2 linked regions of the Medicago truncatula genome follow. The protein of the gene in region 1 binds, or shares a complex with, the protein of each later gene. Links are inferred from orthologs where the notes say so. Each region holds a gene or a part of one and is shown on either strand. Other genes may lie near its edges.

Region 1 (10,125 bases):
TTACACAAATCAAAGCTATGAAAAAGGAATATCCAATTCAGCCAGCCATATATGAATTTCTAAAATAATTCCAAATACAAGCCTCTAAGCAAAAGAAATGTGTTACTGCCCAGGAACTACTTTAAAAACTAACTTCCCATAAAATTAACCAAACCCTTCAAACTTTCTTTAAGCAGTCAAATTTAACAAGCTACATCCTTTTCTTTGACGGAACAAGCTGCACCCTTAAAATGAGATTTCAACACTAAACCAATTGTTGAGACTCGAGAGTCCCACATTAGATGTGATATGGCCTAAACAATGTTTATAAGTGGGAGGCATTCCTCCTATTACTGCTTGGGTTTGTGTGGTTGAGTTGAACTCAAGAGTTTGTCCTAAATCCAGTCGGTCACCTGTTATCAGGCCACGGATCATGCAAGTTAACTGCAATTTGGCCTAAACAATGTCTATAAGTGGGAGGCACCCCTCCCCTTACTACTCGGGTTTGTATGGTTGAGTTAAGCTCGAGAGTCTGTCATAAATTCATTAGGTCACACGTTATCGGGCCACACGGATCACGCTCCAGATGCGCAGACATGGTCGTGAGGGATGGTTTTGTTGAAAGTCCTGCATTGGATGAGATATGGCTTGAAAAGGTGTTTATAAGGGGGAGACATATTTCACCTTACCAGCCGGCTTTGTGAGACTGTTAGACCTAACCCAAATTCTAAGATAAACATTCAACAGCTATGGTGTTTATAAGGAGGAGACATATTTCACCTTACCCACCGGCTTTATGTGACTGTTAGACCTAACCCAAATTCAAAGATAAACGTTCAACAGCTATCACTTCATAGGAATAACATACTACCATAGTAACAAGCTCTCACATTTAAGTTTTCCAAAGGCATCTCTCATACCTATCTAAACAACTAACATATTAATGTCTGATCCTTCAATTTAAGCTAAATATATTTTTTCATCTATATACCCATGTGTTTATGAGCTATTTTAGTAAATGGGATTAAAAGCAAAATGAGGGTAAATAATTTAGTGAACAACCTTGGTCTAGGCCTCTAACCAGTGGCCTGCAGCAACTCCCTCTGTGCATTCTCTTTAATCCTTCTCTCAAGCTCGGGCCTGAAATGCCTGATAAGTCCCTGCACTGGCCATGCAGCAGCGTCACCCAAGGCACAGATTGTGTGCCCTTCAATTTGCTTAGTCACCTCCTGAAGCATATCAATTTCTTCTAGCTTGGCATTACCAACTTTCATTCTTTCCATGATCATCCAAAGCCATCCTGTTCCCTCCCTGCATGGTGTGCACTGCCCACAGCTTTCATGCTTGTAGAAGTACGAGAGCCTTGCAATGGCATCCACAACATCAGTAGACTTATCCATCACAATCACAGCTGCAGTCCCCAACCCTGACCCAACAGCCTTCAACGCATCATAATCCATCAGAACATCATCACATACATGTTTTGGAATCAGTGGAACAGATGATCCTCCTGGAATAATAGCAAGCAAATTGTCCCATCCTCCTCTAACACCTCCACAGTGCCTCTCAATCAATTCCTTCAGTGGCATACTCATTTCCTCCTCAACAGTGCAAGGCTTGTTCACATGTCCTGACACACAATACAACTTTGTCCCAGCGTTGTTCTTCCTACCAAAACTGGCAAACCATTCTGGCCCACGCCTTAAAATGGTTGGAGAGACAGCTACGGTTTCCACATTTGTGACAGTGGTGGGACAACCATACAATCCTGCATTGGCTGGGAAAGGAGGCTTCAATCTTGGTTTACCTTGTTTCCCTTCAAGGCTCTCCAAGAGAGCTGTTTCCTCACCACAAATATAAGCTCCAGCACCATAGTGGATATGAACATCAAAATCATAGCCTGAGCCACAAGCATTCTTACCCAAAAGACCAGCTGCATAAGCCTCTTTCCTAGCCTTTTCAAGATTTAAACGTTCATTCACATATTCACCCCTGATGTAGATGTAAGCAGCAGTAGCCCTCATTCCCACTCCAGCAATTAAGCAACCTTCTAACAACTTATGTGGGTCGTGGCGCATGATTTCCCTGTCTTTGCAGGTGCCAGGTTCACTTTCATCAGCATTAACAACAAGGTAAGAAGGACGACCATCAGATACTTTTGGCATAAATGACCATTTAAGGCCAGAAGGAAAACCGGCACCACCACGTCCGCGGAGACCAGACTTCTTCATTTCATTAACGATCCAATCAGTACCCTTAATTACCAAATCTTTAGTGCGATGCCAATCACCACGTTTCATGGCACCTTTCAGGAAAGGATCATGCAGCCCATACAAGTTGGTAAAAATCCTGTCCTCATCCTTAAGTCCACCAAAATGGGTTTTCTCTGGAGGTGGAGGTGGTGGTGGAGGCTGCGGAGTACTTGCAGTTGAGGCACCCTGAGTGCTAAATAATCTAACACCAAGACCCAACTTTTCGCTATGTTGTCGAACCAACACTGCCCTCTTTAAAGAAAGAATGCCCCTCATGGTTATCCAACCTGAAAATAATTTCAAGTTTCCAAACAAAACATTTAAGTTAATCAATGCAAACCAAATTGTCCAGAGCTAAAAATAGTCAAATAAAACAATGCTACAAAAATTGGCTATCAACTTTTGGGCTAAACAATAAGATCAGAGCACGTGAGTCAAAAAACAAGTTTACCCACTTAGGCCCTGTTTGGATAAACAGTTTATATCACAAGCACTTATTATGATAAGCGCTTATGTATAAGCTATTTCTAAAGTAAAAAGGTAAAATAAAGTTAAATTGTTTTCGTATAAGCTGGTTTTATAAGCTATCTTGGAGAACTTGTGAAAATAAGCTAAAAACAACTTGTGAACAATGTCATAAGTTTCCCCCAAACAGTCTTACAAAACTTATGTTAGTAGATAAGCTCAAATAAGTCGATCCAATTAGGCCCTTGGTCGTTATCAGAGTTCAGACCGAAAAAAAAAGAAAAAAAAAAACAATTTGGGTTAATCAATTCAAACCAAATTGTCCAAAGCTAAAGATAGTCAAATAAAACATTACAGTTCAAATTTATTTTTTTTAAGAGGACAATAAATTAAAATTGACTATTAACTTTACGGCTATCCAATAAAATCAAAGCACATGAATCAAAATTCAGACCTCAAAAGACAAACTTCCAAATTACCAATTAGTTATAGGCCATAATTGGATAAATAACTTACTTAAGTGTTTATAGCAACACTTATCGTATAAGTGCTTATGCATACACTACTTCTACAACAAAAGCTAAAACAAAACCATAAGTTGTTTTCATAAGCTATCTCAAAGAGCTTATGGACATGTGATAGGCTGTTTCCATAACCTCTTGAAACAATCTCGCAAGTTTTTATGACAGTAAATAAGCTCAAATAAGTCAATCCAAACACACCCATAACCAGAGTTCAGACAACAACAGAGTCTTATCCCACTAAATGAGGTCGGCTACATGGATCAAATTACCCATAATCAGAGTTCAGAGACCCAATTGAAAAATCAAAAGCATAAACTTAAAACACTCAACAACTTTTTGATTCATAACATGCCATATTAAACAAAAAATCCAACAAAACAACCTCCATCAAGCCCCACACATTCAATCCCAACCCAATTCAATCAGATGTAAACTAAATCAATAAATAAATACAAAAAATGGATTTTGGGAAGATTACTGAAACCCTAACAAGAACAAAAAGCGTTGGGGGTAATCTGTATCTACAAATCTAGGAAGAAATAAATTGTGGGTAAGATTGAAATGCACGTGAATTGCAAGCTTGAATGTGTTTATACCAAAAATTGAATGAAAACTAAATTAAAATTATAACATAGATTTGAGCTTAAGCTTAAAAGTAAAAGAATTAGCGTAAATTAAGATAAGGATAAATGGGTTAAGAATAAGATGAAAAAAGAATGAGAGGATGTGAAATTGAAGATGAAGGATGTACCTGCGGATCTAAGAAGTGTTGGAAATGGAGAACCTTGTTGTTCTTCTTCTTGTTTTGTTTTTTCGATTTAGCTTTTTGTTTGGTAGAAAGAAAGAAATAACACGAGTTGGGTTGTTTGAACTTTGGGCTTTTGTTTAGCCACGTTGCATACTTATGAAAAGAGGTTATGGAGATTTAAATGATGAAAGAGATAATTAGCAACAACCAAAAAAATTGATCAAGGGTATGTTTGTATTGACTTGTAAAATCAGCTTATTTATAGCTTATACGAAAAATAATTTAACTTTATTTTAGTAAGAGTATGACCAACGCTTTTTTAACATTCTCTTTAATATTGTCTATCTTATTGTATGAAATCAATGTGGTTTGTTTACTTTGAAAATGAGACTCACATAAAATGGTAGAATTTATATTGATTTCACTCGATAAGAGAGTGGATGTTATAAAGAGTGTTGTTAGCACTGCTTTTATTTTAGTTTTTGCAATCAAAATAGCTTATACATAAGTGTTAATACTTGTGTGAATTTCATCTTTCAATGTGAATCCATGCGGAGACGGCCTTTGGGAATTCGCATACAAAGAAGTTTTTTCTGTGGGGATGTGGATGAGGGAGAAAGTTCCTTTGAGGGTAGTGCGAGTATAGCTGTCAAAATAGGCTACCTGACTTGTCTAGAGCCTTCGGGCCTTATCAGGTCGGACCAAAAAAACCTATTGAAAATATGGGCTTGAAAAAAAAACTATCCGAGTTTGGCCTTATAGGGGACGACCAATATTTTTTGAAAAAGTTAAACTAACCCCTCAAATTGACACCAAAGAGAATCGAACCTGAGACCTTGAGGAGGAGCACACTCCCAGATCCCAAGCCAATACTACTAGACCAACCCAAGTGGTATTGTTAATGTTTCAATGTGGGACTTCAACTTCACTTATATTATGGTATAACATATCTCTTTTACAAGCTACTAAGCACAAACATGATGTAAAGCTTTAGGATATTTTGTTACTTCTCAACGTAATCCTCTTCTTTTTTTTAATGAAGAAATATTGAAGTATCATGTTTCATACATGATATTACCATGATGTGTTTGAACTCTTTAGTTAAACTGGAGAGTTTTTTAAGTGTGTGATTGTTAAGTGTTAAATATAATTAAATAGTTATATTTGAGCAATAACAAATTTATTTACCTTAATGGTATTCATAATAATTATAGATATTGTTTATAGCTTTCATGTGACACGATTTTTAAACCAAAAAGATAATCATAACTTAAGATTTTGTCACAAAAAAAGTTAATATGAGTAGTATAAAAGCAACTTAGATACAATGAGCATAAGTGTATATCAAGCTATCTCATTAACAAAGACGAGTCAAATTATATTTAGCTCAAGTTGAACGCATTTATTTAACGAGCTTAATTTTTATGTCAAATGCAACAGAGTTTATTTGTTTGTTCTCAATAAGATCTATATATAAGCAAATTTCTACATAAGATATGGTAAATATCAATTCTCAGAGCTCTCAATAACAATTGGTTCTTTGAAAACTTCTCACTCTAAAGACATGTTCACAGATACCTTAGAGATACTTGTGAAACATTTATTCATAATTTGCTCAAATTACAATTTCATATTAATCAGTTCACCATAATAATAGTAATATATTTCTGTTTAATGATTTTTCATGTACCATTAGTCCTGAATTTAAATAGTAAGCAAATTCAAGCTGCATATATAGCTTCAAAATGTTGAAAAGAAAACACAACATAGGCTGATTTCATAAAGGATAATTTCATTGATAAATAATAAGGAAGAAAGCAGGGCATAGGTAGCAAACAACATCCATTGATCATCCAATTCCATTTGGAATTATGAACTTAATATTGTTGGAACAAAATTGATTTGTACAATTCCTCTAAGGTTTTGATGATAACAAAGTATTGACGAACAATTGGATATATTAATATTTGTTCAAATGTGCAGGATCATAGAACATATCCATCAAGAGATTGAACATATATTAAAGCGTCGGAAGCACAAGAGAAGCTTAAAAGAATATGGTAGAAGATCTGAAGAAAGGTCAACCGAAAGTCAACATCTTGGATTAGAAGAAAATGACGTCTCTCAGAAGCCGAAGATCAACCTCATTAGACTCGATGAAGATCATCAGACTCGAAAGACCCCTAGACTCAACAGATCGTGAGGGACCCATACTCCACGTCAGATTTGTCGTCTTCTATAGCTATCTCCATCAAAGGATCTGAGTATAATTTTGTCTTCTTCTGATCACGTGTAGAAACAAATAAAGGACTTCAAGGACAAAGAGAATGAAAATATACTTCTAGTTTCAACAAAGGATTTTCGAATGACTATCCAACAAAATTATTCAAATTAGGCAATGGCCCAACATCCTTGATTTGAAGCTTCTCAATGACTCTTAATGTGCTAACACTCTTATTCAATGTCTTTCAAATCCCTGCCTATATAAGCAGCTAAATGGTTAGACAATCTAATATTTATGTATGATAAATCTTAAAATTTATATCAGATCTCCTCACACTTCAAATTAAGGTGATATGTTGAAACGGAAGAGAACTCCAGTCTATCAGTATGTTAGGCGTAGTCTTTAAGTCATGTGAGTATGAAGGTTTATATTATAAGGTATCTATGACAATATTTGTGTACATATGGTCACAAATGAGTAAAAGCATAATTTATACATACATAGTTAGTATAGAGTATGAGATGTAAATATGTATTATAACCTACATTAATAGTAGATGACAGGAGTTCTGAAATCACACATCAAATAATTTGCAATAATATAGTTAACTTTGATTAAATTATGATAAAATATAAATAACACTACGATAAAAACATGTAGACTTACAGATCGGTAGTAAAGATTAGGCTTAATTGCAGTTTCGACACTCTATGTTTCAAGAAGTTGCGATATTGGCCCCCTAACTAAATAAACTACAAAACCGCCTCCTAAGTATTGACTTTTTTGCAGTTTTGGCCCTCCAGACCAATTTTAACAAAGTCAATGCACACATGGACGCCACCTTAAAATGCAAAGGTCTTTAGAAATCAACAAAACAGAAAGAAAAGTAAAATCCTAAAATGCAAAGAACAAACCTCTTACAAATCATCTATCGAAAAAATACCTCAAAAGCAAAGCTCAAACCTTTTAGTAATCAATGAAATGAAAAATTAAATTATAACCGTAAATGCTAGGTTAAGTGGCTTGGACAAATCATGCATCTGAAAAAGGAAAATAATAGTTCAAATGCAAGACTTTTATGAAATAAAATAAAAAATATGTCATGCATGGTTTGAGATATATAGAAAAAATGGTATTGATAAAAAAGAATGGAAGCTAACATCAAGAAATATTGAAGTTGAACGAGTTGAAGAACTTCAACTTTAGTAAAGAAGAAAGAAATGATGAAGAAGATGTGAAGGAGGGAAATCAAAGACATGACAATGACATCATCAGTAGATGTAGAACTCTAACTTCGAAATCACCCATATTACTTTACGAATATGCCCTTGTTGAGGGTAAAATTGTATTTTCTTATATATTCTTAGATGGTTAGTAAATTTTTAGAGCATATCAGCTTGGCGTAATGAGTGGCAGCTGTTGGTGCAACATCATGAAGATGTTTATGTTCATCTTAATTTTTATCCCAAATTCTATTTAACTTTGCAGACATTTGTGATTAAATTCTTCATAATTTTTCATATATAGATGTCCATTGTAAATTGCTACTCACTTTAGCTTCCAAGAGGATGTTTATTAATGTTATTTTTTATATTTTAAGGTTGTTTACTAATGTTGTAAACAGTTACTCTTTATTAGCTAAAACTTATAAAAATACATTCTTTCATATATTTTATATTCTAAATAAATTTTTTAAAAAGTCACGTGAATATATAGTAACCAAACATCTTACACAAACAAGAAATCAAAGTAATTATACGTGCTCATTAACCAAATTTGTTATATACCCTATAAAGATTTTTAAGAAATATTTGAACAAGTAGTATCCAACATATGGACAATATTCAATTATTTGTAAATCCATTCTTACTATATAATTTCATTGCATTCGCTACCACTACTAATCTAAAGTAGATTGATTTCTTTAAGTTGTAAAAACGATTTTACTGTTAACAAATACCTATGTGGTCAGTTTCAGCAACATTGGGGGAAATGTGTCGAGGAAAACCAAGAAAGACTGAGTTCAAAACAATTCATATCAGAGATGTTGTAACTCATTAACGTTATTTAATTATTGTTACTTTTTTTTAATTGTAATTATTAATAATTGGATACTAATGAATATATCTCCATGTTAAAAATATTATGGGACTAGAGACATACAATGACATATATCCTACTTTTGTGTATATTTTTGGTTAGGAAGTTTACCAAAACTAGAAGGCTTACGCATGCATTTACAAACATATTGTGATTTGGAATGGATCGTTGGATCAACAACTTATAACAAATGGATGGAGTGAGATTTGTGAATTTACAACTTATAATACCAGCGTCACGAGGTTGTTTTCTCCTCTTTTTGGGATAATATGTTTTTATTAAAGTTTTTGATCAACACAAAATGCATAGGAGGTTAATCCTAAAAATTAGGCATGTGCATATATTAGACATTACAAAAATTGATGCAAGTATAAAGTCACCAATTTCCAAAAAAGATTCTACCTTGCATTTTTTATTTTAAAAACATCCCTTCATCATTAACACTAGCGAAAAGACGGACACTCACGTGTTATTTTTTATTGCGATAACGTTTGAAAATTATGAATAGTTTTTTTTTATGAAATTTTGATTTTGATTAAAACTAAAAATATAAATGTTTGTTGCTTTTAAGTTATAACAAATCAACGAAAAACAAAAATTTCTTGAAAAAAATAATATTTTACAGGAGGGTGAATCAAAATAAAAATTTTACAGGGTGAAAACCAGAAATGACCTATATTACAGGGGGGTCAAGACCTATTAACCCTTTTATTTATATATAGTATAATTAAATAACATTGCATACAGGTTTGCAAATATTATAAAGTCTTGAGTTGATCATACATTTTCAAATGACTTTCCTTACTTTGTGATTAATGAAGAAATCATGTTGCTCATAAGTAACTTTTTCTTCTTTAATTTGATCGATTTAGAAGAGATCATGTTGCTTGTAAGTTTACAACAGGTAATTTTCCTTACTTTGAGATTATTGAAGAGAGCATGTTGCTTATTAATTTACGAATATTATCAGTTTAAATATTTTTTCTGATCGAATACCGAACGAAACCATTACTCACCTACCCTATTCTAACTCCTCCTAGTGGGCTTTGAACCCATAACGTTTGAGTTTAAGACTTGTCTTTTTCCATTATAATTTTTTTTTGACAAAAATAAAAGATATTCATTTATTCAAATTGATAAAGTACATCGATACAATACAAATTCAAATTCGCTAAAAACAAAAAGTATGAATATGTGAAAAAATCACAACATCCATGTTATTAACATAAAACGGCAAAATACCTATGCCTACAAATATGACTAATATGACTGTATTAAACACTCCAGAATATTCATGTTTCTAGATCTGCAACGTTGACGATGCCAAAGTCATTGTCATTGATAAGATTTGCATTTCTTCAAAGCTAATCTTTCAACCTGAATCAAATAAACACCGCACTAAGGTGAGAAATAAAAAACACACCACACAAAGACTCGAAATCAAAACAAACAGAGTCGTTCAGAGACGATGAAATCACAAAAACAAACGAAAGAAAACAGAAAATATGTTAAATCACTTAGGGCCCGTTTGGATTAACTTATTTTAGAGCTTATATAAAACAGCTTATGTAAATAAATAAGTTTTTATGTATTATTTATAAGTTTTTAAGGTAGTTTATGAAAAAATCGTTAATGAAGATACAATTTTCGTTAATGAGAGCTTATAAATTAAAATAAAAGCTTATTTATTTACATAAGCTATTTTTCATAAGCTCAAAGCAAACGGTGCCTTATTCAATTAAGATATAAGGAAAAACAACTCGGATGAGTGATTTTTGTGTCAAAATTGATCCTAAATCAGCCCTCCGACAAGAAGAAGAAAGAGATGACGAC
Region 2 (10,963 bases), on another chromosome or scaffold:
TTTCTCTCTTCCTATCCTACCAGAGTTTTTTCTTTATCTCTGACATCCATTTTACCTCCCCAGTCAAACTTTCCTTCTCACTTCAATGGGTTCTGTTAAAGCGGGATTAATGTAATCGAGTCTCCCCACTTTCAGTCAATGGGTTTGAAATTTAGTTTCAGGGTGTAAATTGTGAGAAAAACACCATTTAAATTTCTGTTGAGGATGAATTGTTGGAGAAACATGACCCTCCCTCACTTCCTCAGTTTCCTCTATTTGAACTAGTTTCACTGTGAAGAAGTGATATTTTTTGTGAGCAACGTGTTTTAGGATTTGGGCATGAAGTTATGAGTCTGTCTGAAGAAGATGCAAAAAGGGACGAGGAGGATGATGGACAAATATCAAGGACTCAGATGTTATCAAGTGGGGCAAACATTTGAGGAGGTGGGAGTACGTGAGAAGAAAATCCAGTGTGATGAGTTTATGATAGATTTCGTGAGCCTCTATATCATTCAATCGTAAAAAAAAAATTAAATAAATAAATAAATAAAATTGTGTACCAAGCACAACCAAACTAGCTTGTGCACAGTAGAAGTTCTCTTAAGTTAATATCCTAACTGAGTCTCGAGCAAGAGAATGTGAACCAATCCACTTGATAATAGTTTACTTTAATATGAACAGTTATGAATCATAACTAAAGCACTTTGAAGGCTTAGAAGACACAGTTATTTGTGACCTCATTCCACTTTGGAGGTTTACAATCTCATTCTTCGTTTAGGCTAGCGATTGTCGTCTGGTTGTTTGAAGTCACAACCAATTGAGATCTTTAGTCTTCCCATCTTACAATTTATCTAGCCTCTGCTTTATCCGAAAATAACTTAAAGCACAACTATTACTTAGATTAAAACACTTCACATCTATTGCACAGAAGTCATACAGTAAAGTTATTCGTCCAGTTCATTCTTTTCTAGAGCAATGCTGGCGTCAAATGCTAAAACAAACTCTCGTGATCACACTCTTATTAATTGGACCACGTCATCCATATTTCAAACAATTTATTTGGCCACTTGTTACTCAGTTTCGCATAACATTTTTATTTTTTTTACTTTGGATTTCACAGTTACGAAGCAGTAGCAATTTGAAGGGTCTTCTCCATCCAACCACCACCACTATCCACCATTCTTTCTAATTAAAACCACCATCAACAACCACTCAAGTTCAAATTTGCAACGTAAGATCAAATAATTATAAAATTAACAAAAAAATTAACAGGTTGCATAAACCAAAGACAAAGCCAATTTGCATCAATTCCGATGGTTTCATAAATTGAAAATCTTTGAGTGGCTTAAGAGTACAAGGACCTGCTGAAGAAACAACCTCTGCTACTTCCACAATGGGAATCATTGTTTCGAATTTCTTAGATGGGTGTTTCTTTCGTGGATTCCTCTCCTGGTGATGGTGGGGCTTCTTCATGGATTGGATTTGATTTGGGTAGTGAGGATCTTAGGTGGGGTTGGTAGTTTTTAAAGGAGTTATGGTTATGGGTTGTAGCTCTGCTGAAGCAATAACCCAGTTGATTTTTTATTTTATTTTTGGAATAGAATGGGAAAGAAGTTGAACCTAGAAAGGTGGGGATCTAGAGTCCAAGGACCTGCAGTCACACATGGATGACTAAAGACCCCGAGCAACCGTTGGCCTCTTTTTTCCAGGAACAAAGTCATACAAAAATTAAAAATACACCAACTGGTTAAGCCAGTTAACAAGTTATAAGGTCGTCGCAGTGTATACAGGCGTGTGCTAAAAAGTGAGTGTCTGCGCGTTTGTATTTAGCATTTCTGTCTTTTCTATTACTAGCATAGCATTGACATGAGAAAGTTATAAGGTCTCAAGCTTAAATCCTCGTCCCAGGCACTCTCTAACCTCGGCTTTTGTTTCATAAGTGCTGTAGTCTCATCCTAGTCCTAGATGCAGAATGAGCTCAGTCTTTGTCCAAGACATGCTCTACCTTGTCGTTATTTGAATGCAAACCAACTCCCAACTTATGTTCTAGATGCAGCTTGAGCTTACCAGTCCTAGTCCTGGAAGTAGTTTAAACCCATCTCAGGTCAAGTCTATCCCTCATCTGTTTCTATTCCAGATGCAATCTGGCCATATCTGTTACAGATGCAGGCTTGCGCATCTGGCTTCATCTCATGCAGAAAATAATAGACTTATAAATTGAACTTTTTTATTTAGCAGCCTAATACTTGAAATTTTAAACGAAATTAAATGACTAACAAACACAGTAGCCACAGTTCAATGATAAACTCTTCATATCAGTTGAGAAGCAAGATATGCTGATTCTTGTAAGTTAGACTGCTCGGACAATATTGAAACCCTCATTCTATAGATTGTGATTTTAAGTTAATATCCTAGGCGAGACATGAGCAAGAGAAGGTGAACCAATCCATCTGATAATGGTTTACTTTAATAAGCACAAGTATGAAATTATGAATCATAACTGGAGCACTTTGAAGGCTTAGAAAAACATAAAATTTTATGTGACCTATGTTTGAATGGCAAAAACATACCACGTATTCCCAACCATGTCTCTCTGCAAATTCCTTTGCCGCTTCTTCAGTATCAAAATCCAACGCAGAATCACCAACATGGGAATATGGGTCTCCGGTGGATGTCCACCCCATCAGTGGATTTTCCCACCTATAGACATATTAGTTCACAGTACAAATTAAACTATTATTAGGTATTACAAATTTAACAATAAGATCAGTTAAAGAATTAAAGTATAAATTCAGGATATTATACTGAAACAACTAGCAACTCCTTAAACTACTTAGAGATGCCCAGGAAGAATCATAACATATGTAAAATAACATAGTGATTAAAACTCTGAAAATTTCCACATGTGCAGGAAATGTAATGTCAATGATAGCATAAGTTCCGCTTTTATGAATGAATTTCGATAAGAAATTTGTCAAAAATCGAGATATATGGACAACAGGGAAATGCATCCTCTCCATTTTTTTTCTCTCAAATTTTCTTAAGTTTCAAATCTCAACTCTTCATTATTATAAATTTCAAAACTCTTCACCCATTATATTTCAATGATATAGATATTCCACATTATTTCCTAGTGTTTTTCCTACATGAGAGAATCCTAATCCAGACAACAGATATCCAGCGCAGAAACATCAAACTTGTTAGGGAAAAATAATAAATAATTCGAGTTCTAAAACTAGTAAAACAATATCTAAACAAGCAGTGAAAGAAAAATGATAAACAGAGAGAATTTACTTCTGGGTTGATAAGAAGTTGATCCTCCATCTTCCAACATTCCCAGATCCTTGTTGACCAGCAGTTCTAGCAGGTGAGTAAATCAAAACCTGCCATCACATTGCAAGTATAAGCTAAACGCCTAATTGAATTTCAATTGTTAACAGGTGTTTAACAGGTCAATTATTTTTTTGTCTTTAAATGAAGTGATAAACACCACCTAAAACTCACGCAGACAACTGCAAAGTCCCGGCTTGGAACCCGGGTGAAGGTGTCCAGCCTGACAATATCGGCATTGCCGGTTAAGCTAAGTCCATTACATAGGATCTAATGATGCATCAATTATTTTGCAAAATTTCAACAAAACAAAACTTCAATTGAATCTAAAACAATTATACTACATATAAAAAATAAAAACTTTTATTCTACCATAATAATGAAACAAATATAATAAAATTGGGGAATGAAAAACCGGAAGAAAAAAAAAAAACGAAAAATTTAAAGCATAATACCCTTCTACGAAGGTGTTCTTGTGGGATTCCAGAAACCAAACCGATCTCGCCGGGTTTGGACTCAACCAATGCATCAGTGGAGAACCGGCGGATGAGGGTGGCGCGTAGGGAACCACCGCGACTCGCCGTGCGTAGCAGGATGTTCGTCATCGTTTGATGGGAATTTTGATTCTGCGGAGGATGGTGCCAAAGACAAAATGAACCTCCCGAGCCTTTCTCGTTCGCTTTTGTTCCGATAAATTTTTAGCTTGGCCCTTTTACTTTTACATTTTACAAATTTTCCCTTTCTTAAGAGTGCTTTTTAAAATTTTAAATGGTAGCAATAATATATATTAAACATTATTATAATATATTAAAATTACTATAACCATAATATAACTCTCTCCGATCAACATTTCACTTTTTAAATTCCTTGTATAACTAATATATTTGATTTATATTACAAACCGAATATATTAGTTATTCAAAAAATCTAAAAAATCATTTTTTGTTTATAATAGAGTCTGAAGGGAGCATATTAAAAGAACGTCTTTGTATGAATGAAGGATTGTGTATTGTTAATAGGTTGATAATAAATAACATAAAAAAGTATATAACTAACAAATATGTTAGTGATTCTAAATTTAACTAAAATATGATATTTCATGATCAATTAATTATTCATCTTTTTCTAAAGTTCTAGGTCGGTCTTTGCTGGCCTTAAAATCATTGGAATGCACAACAAGTGTAATATGTCATATATAACTTGTAATGATACGGGCCTTAGAAGACAAACTAAAACATTATGGATTATCCACTAAGGAAATCGACTTTAAAAAGAGAAAATACACCCGATTGTGAAGTATGAATGAAGAGAATTTATGATGTGTCCATTTTAGCATAACAAAATGACATAGTGTAGAAACTGAAAACAACCCCAATGTCATCCCAAAAAACTAACACACCAACATATAAGGAGTTTATAAGCACTGACATGCTTCTAACACCAAGGAGCGTATATCAAATAAATATGTGTAAGTGGCTATCTTGATAATTTTTTACGGTGACAAACAACACATATCTAGTAACGACCTCAACAATCACTAGAGTGAAAATAGTAACAAGATTAAGTGTATATGAGTGCATATAATATATAAATAAGGGGTTCACCCCTAAGTATGATGACTTGTTATCCGTTTTCATATTCGTGTCAAGGTATGTCTTATCTTACTTTGGCATCATGGTGTCTTTGCAAGTACACCTTCCTCGCCTGAAGAAGGAGCGTATGACTAGAGATGTGAAGATTACATCATCGACTTTGATGATCCATTTTGTGTGTTCACGCGTGAACATTGACGCCCACTGTGGAGCCCTCAGTAAGATTTACCAATGCATTAGGATCCCATTATTATGCCGGTTACAAAATGTCTAACATGGTGACTCTAATGTCTAACATGGTGGATCCATAAACTAGAAATTCACCATTCAATAGGCAAGTCAACTGATACAAAAGTTTCCTTTATCGGTGTTTTCCATCTCCAAGAAGACACGAAGTAGAAGGTCCCAAAAACCATGACGCGTCACCGCCTCGATGACATTGTCATAAAGAACAAACACTAGATAACACCATGTATAATATGAAGGCCCACAAGAAGAAAATGGTCTTAATCAAGAAAAATAAAAAAAACAACGGAGTAGTTCATCCGCGAAAGACAACGACTATGATAACATAAAACTCCTTTCGAATTGCTTTATGATCTTTATGCAATGACTCATGTTGTTTATCTAATCAATATATTACCCATTCCTATTTTGCAAAATCAGACTCCTTTTGAAATGGTGTATGATAAACCTCTGACTTTTCTGTTTCTACCTTGGAACAACATTGTACTAAAATTGATCCACGAGCAATAAAATGGATCTTCTTGAGATTCAAATTTGGTACAAAAGGTTATCTTGTCTTTGATCTATCTACTAGATAAGTTTTCATTACAAGAAATGCTATTTTTTCATGAATCTACTTTTGCTTATGTTGAAATTATTGATTATTTTTCTTAGTATTGATTGTACAAATCCAAGATTATTCAATTTTTCTGTTCAATGACCTTGTTGATTCTGCATAATGCACCAAAACAAATTACACTAAACCCATCTCTAATCCTTGAACTTCAGACCTACCATAACTTGTGACCTTTCATCGTAAAATATTCTCAATCCTTACCAAAAACTAACTTTTGACACAACCAAACTCAGACGATCCACTAAAACTATAAAGGCTCTTAACTGTCTCTAAGATTTTCATTGTCATCGTGAAACTCAACTATCCTCTTATACACCCAATTTGATGTATCTTTTACACTTTGTACTATCTTATCATAAATTATTTCTATCTAATCTTCATTACACATTTTCCATTTCCAATGCTATTGAACGCAAACCTATAAGTAGGCTATCAAATTACAAAAAGGGATTAATGCCATGACCAACAAACTTCGAGCCATTACAACTAAAAATGCTTGGTCACTAACCGCCTTATCTAAAGATAAAGTTGTGATTGGTTGCAAATGGGAGTATCGTATCAAACATAAAGTTAATGGCACTATAGAACGCTTTAAAACATTCCTTATGGTCAAAGACTACACTCGACAAGAAGGGGTAAACTCTCTTGATACCTTCTCACTTGTTGCTAAAATAACTATTGTATGTCTTTTACTTTCCATTGTAGTTGCTAAAGGAAGGATTCTTCAACAATTGGATGGAGTTGGCATCAGGTCTCATGCCTACCTCTTCTAATCAAGCATGTTGTCTCAACAAACCCCCTTTTGGTCTATGTCAAGCAAGTAGGCAATGGTTTATTAAATTGTCTTCTGCAATTATCATTATTGGATACCATCATTCAGAATATGATCACTCCTTGTTAATCAAATCATCTTCTCATTCCTTCACTATTCTGCTAGTTTACGTAGACGACATTGTTCTCACAATGAACTCCACATAAATCAATGTTATTAAAAGTCTTTTCTATTCATCCTTTTGCATCAAAGACGTAGGTAATCTCAAGTTTTTCCTTGGTCTTAAAGGTTCTCGTACCAACAAAAGAATTCACTTATGCCTATGTAAACATGCCTTAGGCATCACGGCCTCTAAATCTTTCCCCACTGATTGCGACCTCACTTGCAAAATTGGTCGTCTAACGCCCCCATCGAAAGTCACTATGATATCTTTGTATTTTGGTCACTTCATCGCCAACCAGTTTAAGATCTAATGTATTTGCTAGTGTTTTTATCGTTGTGTTTCTTTGCTTTTGTTTTGCTGTTATTTTTAGTTTATTTCAAGTTTGTAATACCCTAACTTTGTTCATTTTTTTATATTAATCTATTTTGTTCTCTTATAAAAATTGATAAATAATAACACTCATTAGATTTCAGTCATAAAATAAATAACATTCATTGGATTAATTTTATTATACAAGTCTCTTGTTTTGATTCAACTTAAGTACAATAAAAATACAAGATTTTGGATTACAAGCTCAAGGTCACAAATTAAAATTCAAAATACTCTGTTTCTTGTATTAATAATAATCTCATGATAAAACAGAGTTATAATATAAAAATAAAAATGACAAAAATAGGAAAGATATAAAATGAAAACAAAATACAGAAAAACTGTCTCACTAGTTGAGAAAGAAAAAACAAAGATAAAAAACTATGGCAAAGTATATGCATCGTATCCTTCCTCTTGACTCTTGAGGGCTCCTCCCAATTTATCTTTTTTCAATTGCTCTTTTCTTTTCCCTTTTTGAGCCGTTGTACCTTTGCTCATTGCTCTACATTTTCTGAAAATCACCAACTTTGCATTTTTGTCCTCTTCCTCCTAGCTACTTTATACTAATTTTTGGGTATAAATATATGAGACAAAATCAGAATAATGGAGACGAATTTTTTTGCTACCTGAATCACTGAAAAAAAAAAGAAAGTGGATAGAGGTAAGCTTCTCAATATTCATCATGTGTTGCTACTTGTTACTCTTATCACAGTTTCATCGTTACATTTTTGTAGCTCTCTAGCACTTGTTCCTTTGTCTTTCTTCTCTGATAGTAGACTATGTTATGTGTGTGTATGTTTCATCGTTTGCAATCAATTTTTTTTCCTGCTTATTTATCAATTTATCATCAATTTACTAAGTTGTAATTTTATACGAGTAACTAACAAGAGATCTATATCTATGAAATATATCAGTTGATAAAGACAAATCATTATTATATGTAAGTGTCGGTGTTTAAAATCCGAACACACGTTTATTCATTTTAAAAAGTGAATCCTATCCGATAAATTATTTGACCAAATAAGAGATATTAGAGGGCATTCTTGCAATTTGGATAAATTATATTCGGAATAAATGACAAGGGTATAGAATATTTTCAGAGGTTAAGTTGATAAAACAAAATGAAGACACACAATTGGGTTGAATAGAACACATTCTTTCTCTTTCTCTGCCGTTTTGCAAATTCATTCGGATTTTTCGATTTCTGTTCCTCAAATGCTTCAACTTTTCGCAATTCTCTTCATCGCCCAGTGATTAGGTACACACCTAACCGATTCTTCTATAATTTTTTGACCCTTTCGTTTTCCCTCAAAGAAAGTTTCAATTTTTGCCTTTTTTTTTTGTTGGTTAGAAGTATAATCTGTTCTTTCTCTTCCCACTTGAATGCATGTGGCTGGTTTTGTTGTTTTGAATGTGTTTCTGATTTTCTAACTCAATGTTGTTTTTTTCTTAATGGGTGAGCTTAAAGGGAAAAGCTTTTCATTTTTCAATGCAATTTTTGTTTGATTGATTTATGAAATTTAAAAATGAGAAATTAAAATCCCTAACGTTTGCATTTTGATGCAATGCATAATTGTAGGTTTTTCCAGGTTGTGTTCAAATTTCTACCTTTATTTTCATAAAGGGCTAATTGCATTTTTCAATACTGATTGTAAAAATGTTCTATATGCATATTACAATGTTATAACTTAGGTTACTCTTTGCCAGCCAAATATTACAAATTATTGGTTGCTTGAATCTGTGGAGTTGTTATGTAAGGGTGTGTTTGCGAGTTGGTTTTTGGAGGGTTTTGAAGGGGGAGGGCTATGTCTATATTTTCATACATATTTGATATAGACGTAGCCCTCCAAACCCCTGCCCTCTAAAAACCTCCAAAACCAAAAACCAACTCTCAAACATAGGATATAGATATAGAATGGTGATTATTTAGATTGATGGTTAAAAGTTGTTATAGTCTTATAGAAGTTAGTTAGCTGGGATTGTTATAGGGTTGTTACTCCCTTTGTCCAGTAATAAGTGACTCTTTTGTAAAAAAAATATTGTCCTAAAATAACTGACCCATTTCAGTTCTCAATGCAATATTAATTACTTTTTTTTCAATTATAACTCTAATTAATACTACTGTCATCACTCCCAATTTAATATATTCTTTTTTGCATCTATGATAATGGTAAATGCACCAATACTTGACAAAAACATTCAAAACCATTTTTCTCTCTCATTCACTTAGTATACATTTTTCTTAATATGTGTGAAATGACCAAATGGGTCACTTAATTTAGGAAGGAGGGAGTAGTTAGTTGGTTAGTTGAGGTTGTTATAGGACTATTTGTATAAATAGGAGAAACAATGTAGAGTTGATCATTATTGAATATTGTAAACAGTGTGAATCGAGTAGTAACTCTATTGTGAAGGGGAATCCCTTGAAGGAGAGATTTATCTCCCTATTCTTTCCTATTTTTTCTTAATAAAAGTGTTCTTTCTTAGGAATCCAATTCTTGGGTTCCTAACATCTTCTCTTCTCTTGTTTTTACATTTATGAAGCACCAACACAACACCGACGCGGCGACACCTATACTCTGAGAAATAGAAGTAATTGAAAGTAACAACATGTGTTCGTATTGCACATGTTAGACACCAGATACACCTTCAATCTGACGTGTTGGTGCTATATCGGTTAACATTGGGTTGGGTTGTTGGTGGATGTGATTGAAGTGAATTTGGAACTAAGGTCAATGTTTGGGATGAGTAATATTTACTTAATTATATTTATTGGTTATTATAAACATAGAAGAGTCACATTTTGACTTTTTCTTTTCTTTTCATTTTGATGTTTATTGTTGGTCAACTACTAATTGTAAAGTTTTTTTTTAATGCAAAGATGCACATATAGAGAAGGGGAGTACTGAAATTCCAAGCTTTCCTCAACCCTAGAAGCAAAGATTAAACTGTCACAAAAAAACTGTCGGATTTCCTTCCATGGGTGCTCCTAAGCAGAAATGGACTGCAGAAGAAGAAGCAGCACTGAAAGCTGGAGTAGTCAAACACGGGGCTGGAAAATGGCGCACAATACTTATGGATCCCGAGTTCAGTTCCATTTTGCGTACGCGTTCGAATGTAGATCTCAAGGTAAGTCTTTTCAACACAGCCTAGTAGAAATACATAAAGATAGATAATTTTTCTTTGATCAAATTGATAAAGCTATTGCATACTTTTGGTGAACTAATTTGTATGCTTTGAATTGTGAACAGGATAAATGGAGGAATATAAATGTCACAGCAATATGGGGATCCCGGCAGAAGGCAAAACTTGCCCTTAAAAACAGTCCCCCAGCCCCCAAAACTGACAATAACCAATTGGCCTTGGGTAAAGTAGTTCAACGTGAAGACTTTCTCGATATTAAGCCCCTGACAATTTCTGGTGGAACATTTCAATCTCCTAAGCCCCTAACAATTTGTAGTGGAACATTGCAATCTCCTAATTCAAAAGAACAAGTATCAAGGTTCAAGAACTTTCAGTTAAATACATCTGCCATTATTATCTAGTAAAAAGAAATTATCTCCATGATTGTGGTGCTTGGTTTGTGATTTTGATCTTGAATAACATCTAAAGATTGCAGAGTGTAAATGTTACACCCCTTATGAGTAATAAGGTCTAGTATTGCATAAATTTGTGTGCTAGTTTACCAAATTTTCACAAATGAATCGATAAATAGCCTAATTTGAATCTGAATTTTTTGTTATTTTCTATGTGAGTTATCTTGTGATCCTTCATTTTATAGTACCTTTGTGAGGTATCTGGCGATTCTTCATTTTTTGTAGTACCTCATAGCAGTTTTGCTGTAAGCATGTTGAAGATATAAGGGGACAAAAGGTTTATTAATTGTTACCTATAAA

The links.
Region 2: the proteins of NADH dehydrogenase [ubiquinone] flavoprotein 1, mitochondrial (region 1) and NADH dehydrogenase [ubiquinone] iron-sulfur protein 4, mitochondrial are in contact, whole or in part, in a cryo-EM structure (PDB 8BED), measured with the Arabidopsis thaliana proteins. The link is inferred for Medicago truncatula from reciprocal best matches to the Arabidopsis thaliana genes CI51 and FRO1. Residues at the interface, in NP_196470.1 of Arabidopsis thaliana: Gly131, Arg132, Pro133, Glu237, Arg247, Leu248, Pro250, Pro251, Tyr259, Gly260, Cys261; in NP_201560.1 of Arabidopsis thaliana: Tyr140, Ser141, Phe144, Trp146.

Annotation. Positions count from the first base shown.
Region 1 is NC_053042.1:16,131,935-16,142,059, forward strand, and holds the start of NADH dehydrogenase [ubiquinone] flavoprotein 1, mitochondrial, read right to left. Parts: upstream 4,147-10,125; 5' UTR 3,972-4,146; intron 2,519-3,971; 5' UTR 2,508-2,518; coding exon 1,056-2,507; 3' UTR 1,042-1,055; intron 1-1,041. UniProt on the Arabidopsis thaliana protein: Core subunit of the mitochondrial membrane respiratory chain NADH dehydrogenase (Complex I) that is believed to belong to the minimal assembly required for catalysis. Complex I functions in the transfer of electrons from NADH to the respiratory chain.
Region 2 is NC_053045.1:47,950,326-47,961,288, reverse strand, and holds the start of NADH dehydrogenase [ubiquinone] iron-sulfur protein 4, mitochondrial, read right to left. Parts: upstream 4,002-10,963; 5' UTR 3,915-4,001; coding exon 3,765-3,914; intron 3,363-3,764; coding exon 3,274-3,362; intron 2,680-3,273; coding exon 2,550-2,679; intron 1-2,549. Other genes in the region: telomere repeat-binding factor 2, read left to right, coding at 10,047-10,196, 10,319-10,584.